4 linked regions of the Schizosaccharomyces pombe genome follow. Changing the gene in region 3 together with the main gene of any one other region gives a genetic interaction. Each region holds a gene or a part of one and is shown on either strand. Other genes may lie near its edges.

Region 1 (4,080 bases), on a different chromosome or scaffold from region 3:
GATATATATGCAAATCAAGTGGAGTGATTTTTGCGCAGACATATCCGCTCCGGTATCATAGCATGAAATTCTCTCATCAAAATGTGTTAACTTGTAATATGATGCTATTAACCTACCTTTTTATTATATATAAGTATATATAACAACACTATTAGAAGGGAGAAAAAGGGATTCACTTTGAGAATGGGTTATGGGAGTGTTTAAGCTGAATCGGACGGTGACGGAGTGATAACGATCAAGAACATTCCTATTGGCTTACTTGGCTAAGCATCCTGAACCTATCTGCAGCTACTAGAACTACTCACATAAAAAAAGTTAGAACAACATAACAAGAAAAAAATTTCGCATTGCTTGTGTTGATTTTATAACCGCCATGGAACAGGGGGGTATGCTGGACACATTCAATCGTTACTTTACAACATGTAGGGCTGGTTACTTATAAATTTCCTTAAAATGAGGGACGCGCCTGCCGGTGCATAGTTTAAATATAAATATATTAAAGCAGTAGTTTATGTAATACATATTGTATTTATCAGATGAGAATTCTATTGGTATTTTAATAAACCTATAAAGAACAATATAAGGGTTAAAAAATAACAAGTATTAGTGCCATTAATGGCAAGTAGCGTTAAGAAGAAACGGGTCCGGTTTTTTTGCGATTTGGCAGAGGTCGATTTTCGGGATTATTTGGAGTCCAATTACCTAATGAATTGGTAGCGTAAAAGTCCATAGGATAAACTTCCTTCCAAGGAACAACATTAAAAGCAGCAGATGCTTCATATGGTGTCAACAATGGAGCGGGAAATGCATAGCCCCAATCTATGGAAAGCCTTGGACAAGCGACCTGAATCCACGCGTCAATATCAGAGAATTGACCCAATCTACTAGGAAAAATTTCTGACATTAAAACGCAAACGAAATCTTTATTATTTTTCCTTAAAGTATTCTTTAAATTTTCGAGTACCTTAGGAGACCCCTGTCGACCCAGTGTACCTTGAATTAGACCGAACTTTTTAGCGGTACGAGCTTTCTCAACGGCGGAATACCGAATAGATTTCATTTCTTCATGAGCATAAGATTCAATAGAGAGCTTATGTGAGTAAGGATCATAGCGGTATGCGGGCAAATCAGGATTAGCAATCATGACAGATTCCAAATGGAATCTTCCGTCACCAATGTAAATTAATGCATCTACAGATCCTTTTTCAATATAGGGAGATGTACATCCCAACGCCTCTCCAGGAGATAATGGCTTTGCTTGTGGAATAACAACGTAAAAACCTCCCTTTCCGTCTTCATCCTGTATTTGCAAAGCGTCTTTTATAGAGTTGAGAGATCCAACAAATTGGATAGTTCCAACCAAAGCTAACCTAGAATTGGAGGGTAGATTATGTTTTAAAGATGATACGACATGTTGCAAATCTATCTTTATATCCACGAAAACATATAGCACCTTTATGGGCGTTTGATCAACAGGTATAAGACAAGAATGACCATAGTGTACTAAAAAATCGCAATCGAGTGCCCTAGCTGTAAAATCGTCAATACAACACGCACCGTATGTAACGTCGCCCATCACAATTGTCTCGACCTGGCAAAATTGTTCAAAAATATCAGACAATATACAACCAAACATCAATAGCCCCTCGGGAAGTTGCAAGGCAACACGTTTTGCTTTTCGTAAGCGAATATGCCAAATGGTTTTGTGAATTTCAAAATTGTAATTTTGCGGTAACTATTAAAGGTTAGCTGACCAAGCTTTGATGTTTTTGAGAAAAGAAGAAACTAATTTACGGCATCTTTCTCTAATAAAAGCAGCTTACCAATTTTATAGCTTCATTAATTGCTTTATCGTTTAATATATCCTCTGGGATTTGAGTAGCTACTCGTCCAGCGCTCCTCTTGGAGTTAATAGTGACGAGAGCAGCATTTTCAACATCTCTATTAGAACCATCCAAATTATTTTCCTTCCTATTTTTTTTGCCAACAAAACGACGTTTTGGAATTGATTTTTTCACTTCCGCCATTGTGTTTTAAAATTATAAAGTCTATTACTAAAACCCTTTGAAATCCCAAGAAGTAACCAATGCTATGTATGTATTTAAATTGATAGAATGCCAAAAATCCTTTTTCCCTGCAAATTGCTTGTTTGTTAAATTAAAATACAATAGGATCCCAAATAATTTACTAAGTAAAAAAGCATTGCACTTTGCTATATTATTTAACACACGTTGTTATATTACGCTATTTCTATCGGAGGTTGGATCCACGAATACAGCTTCACCTCCGATCATAGGCCACGAAATTTGAACGGCTAACGCTCCTTTAGATTGTTCCAAATTAATTTGCGTGAATAAGCTAAAGCTGTTTTTAGTCACAATTGAAGTTAAATGACCTCTGTCATCCAAGATGAAATTCAGTCATAGGTTTGTTGCATCAGTTTTCACAAGACTTGTTCTAATTACTTTTTAGTCTTCAATTTAATGCAGTACCGGAATGGTCCGAAAGCTACATTGCGTAAGTAAACAACCTGTTGGATTACTTCCGATTTTTGCTAACAATCGGTGCTTAGTTACTCGAACCTTAAGAAGCTGTATGTTTGAAAATTCTCGAGCTTACGACTGGCTATTATGATATATCCTATATTCCGACAAATTCATACTTGCGAAATTTGGGATAATGTCTGATTAACAGCCGGAGAATAAAATTGTACTTGAATTTTGCTAACATATATTTTTAAGTATTTATTCATTGGAACATGAACAGATAACATTACAACAAGGCGCTCCAGATGAAGAAACTAGGCTGTTAGAGCACGAAAGAAGATCACCCGATGATCGCTTTATGTTTGCTTTAGACAAGGAATTACAAGGAATTGTTGAATTTTATGCTCCTAAAGAAAAAGAAATTGCTGATCAGTATGGTAGAATTAAGGGCGAATTTGAAACCTATGAGAATGAGTATATGAGTCAGGGAAACAACATTAATTACCCTACCCCTGAACGATTACAAAAGAGCTCAGCGAGTAGGAAATCTGGTCGTATGGCCCGCAGCCAAGAATTGCCTCGCATTACTTCTTCAAACCGTGAGATATATCTCAATGGGCAAACTAGTGATGGAGGTTATGCGGCCCCTGCTATATCTAGAGCAGAATCTACTGCTATTCAACCGTCTGAACCTCATGATGTCGATACTTCTAAAAACGGTTTATCAAAAAAACAACATTCAGAAGCTCAACCTGAGGTACAAGGCAATGATGATGAGGTGGAGGAGGAAGATGATGATGATGATGATGAAGATGAGGACGAAGATGAAGACGAAGATAACAACAATAACAATCGATGGTTGCTTATTGAACAATATCCATCTGATATTGTTGCGTACGAAAACTTCGTTTCTTTAAAGCGAAAACTGACACAGTTGTATGTTTCAATTCATGACTTGATTTCGTACGTCCATCTTAATTATACTGGTTTTTCAAAAATCTTAAAAAAATATGATAAAACTTTGGGTAGTAGCCTTCGTGAATCGTACATGAAGCGCGTCAACCAAGCTTACCCTTTCCTTCCTGCTACTGGGAAAACATTGTCAAAGCGTTTAAATATTGTTGCAGAGTGGTATGCTAAGCTATGCTGTCAAGGCGATACATTTGTGGCTATCCGTCGCCTTCGTGGTCATCTTCGTGAATACGTTGCATGGGAAAGGAACACTATTTGGCGTGAAATGATGGCTATGGAGCGTCGTACTCAGGCCGCGAGATTATCAGGACTGAAGCCTGTCGCAGCTGATGAGAAAGAATCAGAACAGCCCCCCTATTTTACAATCAAAACTAAATTTGGTGTTTTTAGAATCCCAAGATGCTTCTTTAATAGCACGATTGCAACTTTAATTACTATTATCGTTATATTTATTCTCTTATTAAGTTTTCCTGTCATAGATAATAGGGAACAGAACAATTGTTTGGCTTTGTTAGTAATGGTTTCTTTATTATGGGCTACGGAGGCTATTCCTTTGTTCGTTACTTCGTTTTTGGTTCCTTTTATGACTGTGTTTTTGAAAATTTTGAGAGATGAGAACGGT
Region 2 (3,555 bases), on a different chromosome or scaffold from region 3:
TTCTCCGACTCGACAGAACGCTCGAGCAACAGCTATCGCTTCTTCATCCAATACTGCAGCATCGTTCCGTAATCGTCAGCAAATATCACATCCTCCCCTTGGTCGAACCTCGTCATCTTCTGTTCTCCCAACAGGACCGGCTTCTCAGTTGTACGATATGTTAAGCGGCCGATCAGAACGTCCTGAATTAGGAAATATTAGAGAAGAGGATATAAACACTGTCCAAACGATTATGCAAACTTCTAGAGCTCAAGCTATCCAGGCCTTATCTCAAACTAACGATGTGCAGAGAGCTGTAGAATTGTTATTGGAGCAAACAGCCGACTATTAAACTGTTCTTTAATCAAGCGATCACAAAACAACACATTTCTTATCTTCGTTCTTTCCTGTTTAAAATTTTGCTAATTTTGAACATCATTTCTTACCATGAATTATTTACATTTCCTACATAGCAATTGTTTTGTCCCATTTATCATAAGCTAATTGTTTACTGTCAATGATTGCGCAAACCTGTGAGTGGTGAAGGTTTCTAGTCTTTTATTTTTTACTTTATTCGTAAATATGGATCTGTAGTAATCGTTAACGAAAAAATTTGGTATTGTCTAATAGCTTTATTTCAGGAAATTTCAATGTAAAATTTAGTTCATTCATTGATCAAAGGTAGTAGACTAGAAACTTATCAAATCTATGAATTTGAAAATTCAAAGCTACTGCCAAAAAGAAACACAAAAATAAAATAACAAAACATCACACTTTCCTGGTAATTGATACTTTGTTAGCTGGATAGATAGATGAGCAGGGTGTTTTCGTAATCGAGCATAACATGTTTAAGGACTTAACGGTTGGAATAACGAGACTCGGCCTCTTTCCAATTAATCACATTCCAAATAGCTTTAAAGTATTCGGCCTTACGATTCTCGTATTGAGGATAGTAGGCATGTTCCCAAGCATCAATTCCAATAATGGGCTTGGACTTGACAATCGTGTCTTGGTTAGCAGTAGTAGTAATACGGAGACTACCGTCTTTATCCACGATTAGCCATGCCCAACCACTACCTTGGATGCTAGCTAAGGCGGCATTCATTTCCTTCTGGAAATCCTCCAAAGAACCCCATTTAGAGGTTATAGCCTTATGTAAAGATCCAGAGGTGACGGGTTTGCCACCACCTTCCTTTTGAGGTGCTAAAATCTTCCAAAAGAGAGAATGATTGATGTGACCACCGCCATTGAATTTAATAGCAGCTTGAAGGGCAACCTCTCCCTCCAAATCGAGGTTGGGATCGGCCAGCTTCTCCTGAGCGGCATTCAAGTTGTTAACATATGTTTGGTGATGCTTGTCATGATGTAACTTCATAATCGTTTCCGACAAAGCAGGTTCAAGTGCCTAAAGCTATAGTTAGTAATCATCATTAACAAATTAACTAGACAGTGGGAAACATCCAAAACTTATGATTGCTTCAGAACCCATCAACATGAGCAATTGCTTTTACAACTATTTATTGCATACATTGTAAGCATAAGGTAAAGGGGGAAGAGTAGCCTTAGTATGAACTCCCCTGGCAATTGAGACGTTCCTAATAGCGGCTACAGAGTTCTTAGACAAAAAGCGAAGCATCGTTAAAATGAGATCAAAAGTAAAAAAGTAATAGCAACCAAAGTGACCAACGAACAAAGTAAACCGAAATGTTTTCTTTGTTAAATACCTTAACTTATAACTAAATTGTACGGTTTGATTGAACAAATCGTATATGGTAGAGGGAAAGTATGGAGTAGGGTGAAAGGAGCCTATATAAATTCTCGAAATTACGTCTGGCCTATGAAATGTCTGGAGAAAGTCATTTCCGAAATATTACACCAAAAATGTGGTAAACAACAAATTGTGCAACTTGTTAATGAACCATTAAGAACTAGTTTTATAGAGTAGAATGTGAAGTTCAACGTATCTTCATTTCACCAACTTCTCAAAATTCTCTGCATTCATTTAGCAATCTTCATTACTCTAGGTTACTAGATTATAGCAATGTAATAATATTTACTACGACATTATTATCAAGCAAAAAATTTTGGAAGGTTTTGTTAAGTGCAAGCAATTAATGGTACTTGAACTTATAGAAATGACAACTCAACAAATGTTACTGAAGTTTAAAAGGGCAACTTCTTTACATTGAATTGTTAGAAATGATTTTACAATACCGAATCAAGAATTCGGCGAGTGCAACTAGTAGTGTGATTAGTACATTGTAAATATTTTATTTTTTCAAATTGACTTCTGATGCGATTGAGTATTGATGCAATTGAAAAATCCGTCCTGCAACAAATTACCCTTATAAGCACACAATGAAAAAAGAAACAGCGGCTCTACTAGTTAAAGGGTATCGAAATCAGAGTTGAAGGAATTGCCTTTGCAAAATAGATAAGTAGTGCAGCGAAGCGGTAATAACGAGGAAGTAACTCGGCAAATATTTGTACAGTTAATAAAACTGTACTTGAAGTTTAATATTTTCAACTTTCTATACAAAAATTGATTGATATTCATGAGTTACGCAATTCGCTTTTTGAACCAGAAATAAGCATCGGCTAATTTTAGTAGTTAATTATACATATATTTTTTTCATGTATTTTATATTGTGTTTTTTTATTTTTTAGGTTAATTGCTTGTATAAATTTTTTGTGTAATTTTTATCGTGTTTTTTTTTATTAATGGTGCATGAAACTTCTTTTTCTTTTTCTTTATTTTGGGTGAGACAAAGTGTAACTCAAAGTATAATTCGCGTTCTAGCAAGTATAGCTACAATGTGTATTTCCCAATTTTTTTTTTTTTTTTTTTTTAAGGAATAAAGATCATGATTGCATAAAATAATTTGTTCTTTCCTAATCAATTGGCAAATATCAATGATTATTGATTAACGATATTGATGCATTAAACAATGTAATCGTTAGGAAGTTCAAATGCTGTCATTGAAATTATTCATTTTTAAAGAGCTATTCAATTACAATGGAGTATGTAGGTTAGTAGGTGCGATGATGGGTATTTATTTACCTTTTCATCAAAAACAAAAAAATTTACTAAGTTACCATATGACAAAACAGTTGCAAACCGCAATTAATGTAGTCCTTTTCTTCTTACTAAAAATTTTTGAATCTCAGCATTTTCTTATAATAAATAAGCAAGTGTTTTGAAACCCCAAACATTGTTTTTAGATTTACATACCGTCCTTTGGTTAAGTAATTAATTAATTCATACATCTTTAATTATTTCAACAGTAATTTCCACAAACTCGATAAAACTATATCGTCATAATCATTCTGAAAAGATATACTGTCTTTTTCAAACTGTAGACCCGAATCAGATTCTTAATCAACTTATTTTAAGCATGAAATATTACTCGCTAACAAATCTACAAACTAGGAAAACAGGGAAATTAAAAAATTATGGATAGTATTAATAACTGTTCTCTGTCCAAGCTTCGTATTCTATTATTCAGTATAATGCTCTTTGTTTACCTACTACAAATTAGTATTTCTCGGATCATAATACTTTTGTTTTGTACAGAA
Region 3 (3,335 bases):
CCCCATACAAAGATAGAAGAGGATGGATTCAGCTTTATGACTTGTATCCATACTTTTGGTATCATTGCATTCCCAAAATCAAGTTCTTTTTGGATGACTTGAAACATGGTAAAACAATTATTTTTTTTTAAAAATTCAAAGAAAGAGAGGACAAGCAAAGTGTGGCTTTAAAATGTTGGCAAAAATATTATGAATACAACAGTAAAGGTTTTCGAACAAATGGCAAGTTCATGCAAAACCTAATTAATAGGAGAGAAAAAAAAATAAAATGAATTGATGTTCAATAATAAGTTAAATACAAAATAAACGAAGTTTTGGAGAATTACTAGTTATACTCTGAAGACAAGAATGATTTAATAATTTCCACAGAAATAAGGAAAGATACCGTATTACGTTTTTTTTATAAAGACATCGTATTTTTTCTTAAGCAAATTTAACGTAGCGTCGCCTAATTTCACAGTTGTGCTTTGTTTATGCACGGTTGCCCTCCAACTAGTGCTTTGTACGTTTCCTCTACCATAGACCTCATTCTTGCTGCTTCAAAGAGCAAAGAGCTTTACTTTGCAAAATGGCGTTTTTTAACGTATTTAAAGCCGTGTTATGTGCTTATTTTATATCTGTTGTTTTCGGTCATGGCATTACATTGAAACCGCATCAACGAGGTATGTAATTTCAGTGTATTTGTGTTGAGATTCATGGAGTATACAATGCTAATGAAGCAAACTTAGAATGTTTCTATGAAAATTTGAGGAATAATGATCAAATGTCTGTCACTTATCAAACAAACGTTGGTGGTGATCAGCTTGTTTCTATGAGTATCTACAATCCTGCGGGTCAAATTATGCATCAAGAGGTTCCCAACTCTATGGCCCAATATTCTTTCACCGTTAAGAACCCAGGGAAATACATGTATTGTTTCTATAATGTATGTGTTATCTTTTTGTTTTCTGGCATCAAAGCCTGGCATTATGGTCGTCATTTCCCATGTCGTCTAATTGTTTGATGGTTGAGCCGGAAACAGCTAGATGTACAATCTTAACTAACAACATCAATAGGATGCACTCGATGGTGAATCAAAGGAGGTTTTATTCAATGTGCATGGTGTTATATATATCTCTGATGAAGATTTGGATGCTAACAATCCTTTACTCGGCAAGGTCCGCCAACTCCATGATACCATCTCCAAGGTAAAACATGAGCAGGAGTATTTTGTGGCTCGTGAAAGAATACATCGCAATACTGCTGAAAGCACAAATGACCGCGTCAAGTGGTGGAGTATTCTTCAAACCGTTATTCTAGTTTCCGTATGTGTATTCCAAATTTTCTACTTAAAGCGACTTTTCGAAGTAAAGCGTGTTGTATAGTTTATCCGCATAACGTTACTTATTGTTCGCAATAAGTTTTCCGTGCGACTGGACGACGGTCGTAATTTCAAGATTCTGCTTGAGCAGCAAAAAGTATTATAATTGGTCTCTATTTGAAGCTGGCCATCACCGACGACTAAATTTTTTTTAAAAAATTTTATTTCCTGTCGGTTGCTGGCGTTTTCCCTTTCAATCTGAATCTTTAATCTGTCTTTTACTTGTGCAGGTTAATGTTTTCTTTTATGATCTCGCCTGTTCTTTAAAAAAAAAGATTCGTTATGTTTGAAGCAATCATTTAGCAAACGTACGTGTTTTTTAATGAATTTTAAAGTCTTAATTTCTTAAATCATTCTGCACTGTGGGAAACACTGCACTTTAACTTTCACATTTTATGGCATTCCGATCTTTCTAAAGGTACACTTTTTTTATAGACGGTAACATTAACAGTATAACAATTCCCTCATTATACATTTGCTTATAAAACGAATTATTTAGTCTGTAATGCCACTTGTATGTATTACTTATTGCTGTATTCATGGCGATGTTTGTTACCTCCTTCTAATGTTACCTTCAAAGTATCTATGAAAATTCATTTACTACACCAAACTATAACCATTACCATTTATCGTAACTCAATGGCACAAGGAGAATTTAAAAAGAAGAAAAATAGTAGTGCCAACAAGGGCGGACGTGTTACAAAACACTCCAAGAATCCTAAAAAAGGCGGTATGTCAGCTGCAACTGTCAAATATTCGGTGATCTTTGTATGCTAGGGAATTTGGTTTAGGGATGTTTCTTTTAATATTTTAAGCTCATTGAAGTTGTTGGACAACCTTTGTGGTGCTATAAACTCTTCATCTTTTCGTAACTTTAGATACTCATTATAGTAAAATTTTTCATTAAATTTTTTGATACACGTTTCAATCATTTTACTCTTAAGCATACAAGATATCATATTATATGGTTTATCATTCATCATTAATACTCATTACTAACCTTGACTTTTAGCTCGTTATTGTGCCCCTAGAAGAGCAGCTGCTATCAAAGACCATACAATTAATGCGGTATGTTTTAAAATTTACTTTTATATATGTTCTTTTTGCTAATATCTTTAAAGAACATTACAAAAACATTAAATGTTCGCAATGAGAAACTAATTGCCGGAATTGCGTCTCAACAAGTGGGCAAGTTGACAATTACTAAGGCATTAGGTGAAGCTGGTGCCAAGGAGTTAAAGGAGGGAAAGCATTGAGTCGTTTGGTATTTCTTTTTGTGTAACTGTTTTGTTCCTTTTCAAAAGGAGGTAAATGGCTACACTTGATCATACTGCATTTATCGAATTGTAGCATTGGTTTTGGAATTTTATTACTATTATGGTTAAGTATACAGGGAATTCGGTTCATTTTTGATTATTATTTATAAATTAATTTTGTTGGGAAATGAGTAAACGTTATATACAAATATTGTTGTTTGATAATTTTCTTTAAATAATTAGACTCAGTAGTGTTCCAAATAAAAAGCTCGTAATTCTAAGATTAATAATTATGTTCCACAAAAAAAATGCTTTTAAACATTCTTAAGTCCTCGTTCGTTTGTTTCGCGATAAGTTTACAGAAGTAGTTTTCGTTTTGGAGTTCTGTCCTCGCCCAGAATTTGACTCTGCATTTGAAATGGCTTTATTTAAAATTCTCCACTCCTGCTGCCATGTGTCGAGTAATGTTCTAATTCTTTTAATCTTTACTCGTTTTTCTGGAGTATCTTCCGGTGGGTGTTCTCTTTTAAGAAAATCAATCAGCTCTGAAAGCTCTTTCTCTGAATCGGAAGATTCCAATTCTATTCTCTCTTCCGCTTCAACTTTCCCGTCACCGTTAACTTCTAAATCAACTTCTTCTTTAATGCTTTCTTTTTCCGAAGTAGCCGTTGTTCCTTCTACCGGTTTGTGATGGCCACGTAGCATTTCTTCTGTTGCCG
Region 4 (3,544 bases), on a different chromosome or scaffold from region 3:
TTATATTAGACTTACGATCTGGCTCTCATCTTTCTTCTTTTACGTTTGAGACGACGCACGCGTTTTTTCCTCCATTTATCACGCATCTTGGCAGTGGTAAAAATGTATTGTAGGCCACATGTTAGATATACGAAAATGTGACTGTTTCTTTGGCTCTGGCATATGAGATAGCGTCGTGCTATATGCAATAACATATTATAAAAAGTTCGTTAATTAAGTTTGCTGTCAGCAATACTACACTACGCTATGATACACTACGTTGAGTATCACTATATGTCACATGTTCTAATTATATATCGTACCATGTATGATACGATATGGAGATTGATCTTAATGATAATCTATTAAGATCAATATTATCTGAATACTATAAATAGAGCTACTGCTGAACCTCGTTCCTCAGTTCAGTTATGAGCTATATTAGTGATAGGTAACATTATAACCCAGTTAATACAATACCTATACTCAGTTGCTACTTATACAACCTGTGTATTGTAATATAATAGATCACAAGGAAAACTCACCGCAGTTCTACGTATCCTTAAATTAGATACCAAACTGCGTAGCTTACATTTGCGTAATGTTTAAATTCCCTTTTAAGCTTCTAAATAAATTTGAGATTCCACTGTGGTATGTCGCACTAAAGCTGGAATGATATTGCTTTATAAGTAAATTGATGGAAATACTGTTAAGTAGCTGGCTTTTAGTTCAACTGATAAGTTTCAAATGCTTTAGCAATGAAATTTCAAAATTCTGTGGAATTGATCGCAACTTGGACTTCAATACGTACTTACGTTGAGCACAAGTACGAATTCATTTTAATTCCACAATCTTGAAACGAAGAATAAATTGAATAGCATTTATCCATTATTTGTAATAATGAAAACGTTTTTTTGAAAGAATAAGTTATAAAGCTATTTTATAAACTTAAACTCGTTTCGTAAAGTGTTTTAAAATTATGCGTTGTTAAAACATACGCAGAAATGCAATAATTTATCACTTAACAAAAATAGCTAAAGGTGGGCTTTTAGTTTCGAGTAAAGATTGTTATTTCCTAATGAAGTTCTCTTTAAATTTTCTTCCATTCTTCCCTTAATGTTTTGCAGAGGCGTTGTTCATTTTAATTTTGAAGAAAGAAAGTTACCGTTGAGGTGCGCATGCTTACGGAAGCTAGTGGTAATAGAAATTATTTTATAAGTAAACTGTATTATATGGGCAAAATAATCTTTGGAAAAGTCGTACGCTCAAAAAACTTGCCTAAAGTGTTGTTAAAAACTTACAAATTCAACTAAAAAGATACAGTTTAATTATTAATAGAATGAACAACAAACGTACTATGCCAATACAAAACCAGTGATCTGAGAAAACTAAACAAATAAATTTTGAGGATATCACGATGTAAAGAGTAGCCCTCCTATCCTTCGTAATTTCAAGACATTTTGAGAATAAATAGAAGTAAAAAACCAAATAAGAAATTATAGGGAAAAATTATGCTGCAATGATTATAGGTGCTGTAGAAGCATCGTTATCAACTTCCATGAATTCATCTTCATCATAGATCACCCGGACAATCAAGCTGCAGCTTGGGCAACGAGCAACATCTTCCCCTAATTGAAGATCTTCCTAAATAATGAATTAGTATAAACTTCCAAAATATTAAGAAATTGCGTATCAATACATACCAAAGATATCTCGAAGCGATCCCCACAAGGACAGGGAAAAGTGTACAAGTTCGTACCGGCGTCTTTTAATTAGCAAAAGTATTCAACTTTTAACAAATACATACCAAACGTGAAATCTTCTAACTCGATTTCGTCGTAAAATGACATTTTGCCGCTTCAATGCACTACTGGCAGAAGGTGCGTGGCCACTCCACCAAAAATTTGTTTTATATGTGGGAACCGCCCATAATGAAAACTACAAGCTAAGTTTAACATAAATGGAATCTACTGTAATTTAGAGGAGAACGATACTTACTTGTTACCGTTTTGTTGTATTTTTTAAAACGTCCGCCTATATTCATTTAGAAACTATAAATGCGTTACAAATCTATGTTGAGCAAATTTGATTGTACAGTTTTTATTTTCGCTTTATTACATGAGAGGAATGAGTTATAACATTACTCATGAATGCGACGCTATTAATATTCTATCAGATAATTTACATGAAGGAGCAATATCAGAAGATATGGTTGCCCTCAGTGGTCCAGCCATAGAGTTACTAGAAAATAATGTTGGTAGTTCAAAAAATAGCTATCAAGAAGATGAGGGAAGTTCTTCGATTGATGAGAACGCGCCTCTTATAAGCATAAAACGAAAGAGGAGAATTCGTACGGTTAAATCTACTTCAAATAAAGAATTAGTGCAAAGAAAAGCATCGAAACCTACTAAACAGAAATCTGTTTTCACACCACTTGAGCAGCAATACTTAGAATTGAAGAAAAATTATCAAGAAACTATTTTGGCAATTGAAGTAGGATATAAGTTCCGATTTTTTGGGAAGGATGCAAAAATAGCCTCTGAGGTGTTAGGAATTAGTTGCTATTTTGAGCACAATTTTTTAAATGCTAGTGTTCCCTCGTATCGTATTGACTATCACTTGGAAAGACTCATTAATTTTGGTCTCAAAGTTGCTGTTGTTCGACAAACTGAAACAGCCGCTCTCAAGTCAACTAGCTCTAGCAGAAACACTCTGTTTGACAGACGAGTTGCTCGCGTGCTTACCAAGGGGACTACTCTAGATGATAGCTTTTTTCGCTTTGAGCAAACACAGCATGGTACACTACAAGCTTCCCAATTTATCCTATGTGTTGCAGATAATGTTGATAAGAGCAAAGCAAAATCAGGAAGAGTTCAGGTTGGACTAATTGCCATACAATTATCATCTGGAACTACTGTTTATGATCATTTTCAAGATGATTTTTTGAGAAGCGAATTACAAACAAGACTTTCTCATTTTCAACCTTGTGAATTGATATATTCGAACAAGTTATCTTCCGAATCGGTTGCCCTACTGAATCATTACGTATCAACTGAAAAAACTTGCGGTAGAGTAGTGCGTGTGCAACATGCTGTTCAGCAGGACGTGAAACTAGCATTGGAGAATTTGCAGGACTTCTTTTCTTCTAAATGCATCATGTCCGGTAGCAAAATTATAGAATTACACATGGAAAAGGTGAAGTCTTTACATTCTCTTTCAATCATTTGTTTGGACATGGCCATTTCTTATTTGATGGAATTCTCATTGGAAGATCTATTCGTTGCTTCAAACTTTTATCAACCTTTTGATAGCATTTCTTCTATGGTTTTAAGTAAACAGGCTTTGGAAGGTCTTGAGCTTTTCGTTAATCAAACAGATCATACACCTGTTGGTAGCCTATTTTGGGTGTTAGATCGCACATACACAAGATTTGGACAAAGGATGCTTCAGAGATGGCTTCAAAAGCCTTTGGTTGATAAAGAAAATATAATCGAGCGTCTGGACGCGGTTGAGGAATTAGCCTTTAATTCTAATAGTCAAGTTCAAGCAATTCGTAAAATGCTGT

The links.
Region 1: mutations in SPOM_SPCC24B10.18 (region 3) and dph1 together harm fitness more than expected from each alone (negative genetic interaction), as found in Schizosaccharomyces pombe (one large-scale study listed by BioGRID).
Region 2: mutations in SPOM_SPCC24B10.18 (region 3) and sod2 together harm fitness more than expected from each alone (negative genetic interaction), as found in Schizosaccharomyces pombe (one large-scale study listed by BioGRID).
Region 4: mutations in SPOM_SPCC24B10.18 (region 3) and dph3 together harm fitness more than expected from each alone (negative genetic interaction), as found in Schizosaccharomyces pombe (one large-scale study listed by BioGRID).

Annotation. Positions count from the first base shown.
Region 1 is NC_003423.3:3,385,291-3,389,370, forward strand, and holds dph1 (diphthamide biosynthesis protein Dph1), read right to left. Parts: upstream 2,155-4,080; 5' UTR 2,028-2,154; coding exon 1,824-2,027; intron 1,736-1,823; coding exon 629-1,735; 3' UTR 512-628; downstream 1-511. Other genes in the region: plt1 (phosphate transporter), read left to right, coding at 2,410-2,426, 2,473-2,517, 2,573-2,593, 2,742-4,080. UniProt on the Schizosaccharomyces pombe protein: Catalyzes the first step of diphthamide biosynthesis, a post-translational modification of histidine which occurs in elongation factor 2.
Region 2 is NC_003424.3:3,183,530-3,187,084, reverse strand, and holds sod2 (manganese superoxide dismutase), read right to left. Parts: upstream 1,754-3,555; 5' UTR 1,616-1,753; coding exon 1,508-1,615; exon of another isoform or gene 1,385-1,507; coding exon 836-1,384; 3' UTR 501-835; downstream 1-500. Other genes in the region: Golgi Dsc E3 ligase complex transmembrane subunit, C-terminal UBA domain Dsc2, read left to right, coding at 1-331. UniProt on the Schizosaccharomyces pombe protein: Destroys superoxide anion radicals which are normally produced within the cells and which are toxic to biological systems.
Region 3 is NC_003421.2:930,023-933,357, forward strand, and holds SPOM_SPCC24B10.18 (uncharacterized protein), read left to right. Parts: upstream 1-1,972; 5' UTR 1,973-1,999; coding exon 2,000-2,090; intron 2,091-2,372; coding exon 2,373-2,428; intron 2,429-2,481; coding exon 2,482-2,616; 3' UTR 2,617-2,825; downstream 2,826-3,335. Other genes in the region: proteasome assembly chaperone Pac4, read right to left, coding at 1-107; COPII-coated vesicle-associated protein Emp24, read left to right, coding at 569-662, 729-925, 1,056-1,364; protein Nts1, read right to left, coding at 2,941-3,335.
Region 4 is NC_003424.3:2,853,834-2,857,377, forward strand, and holds dph3 (diphthamide biosynthesis protein Dph3), read right to left. Parts: upstream 1,862-3,544; 5' UTR 1,830-1,861; coding exon 1,787-1,829; intron 1,745-1,786; coding exon 1,683-1,744; intron 1,624-1,682; coding exon 1,489-1,623; 3' UTR 1,336-1,488; intron 1,258-1,335; 3' UTR 572-1,257; downstream 1-571. Other genes in the region: rpl4102 (60S ribosomal protein eL41), read right to left, coding at 16-86; msh3 (DNA mismatch repair protein), read left to right, coding at 2,098-3,544.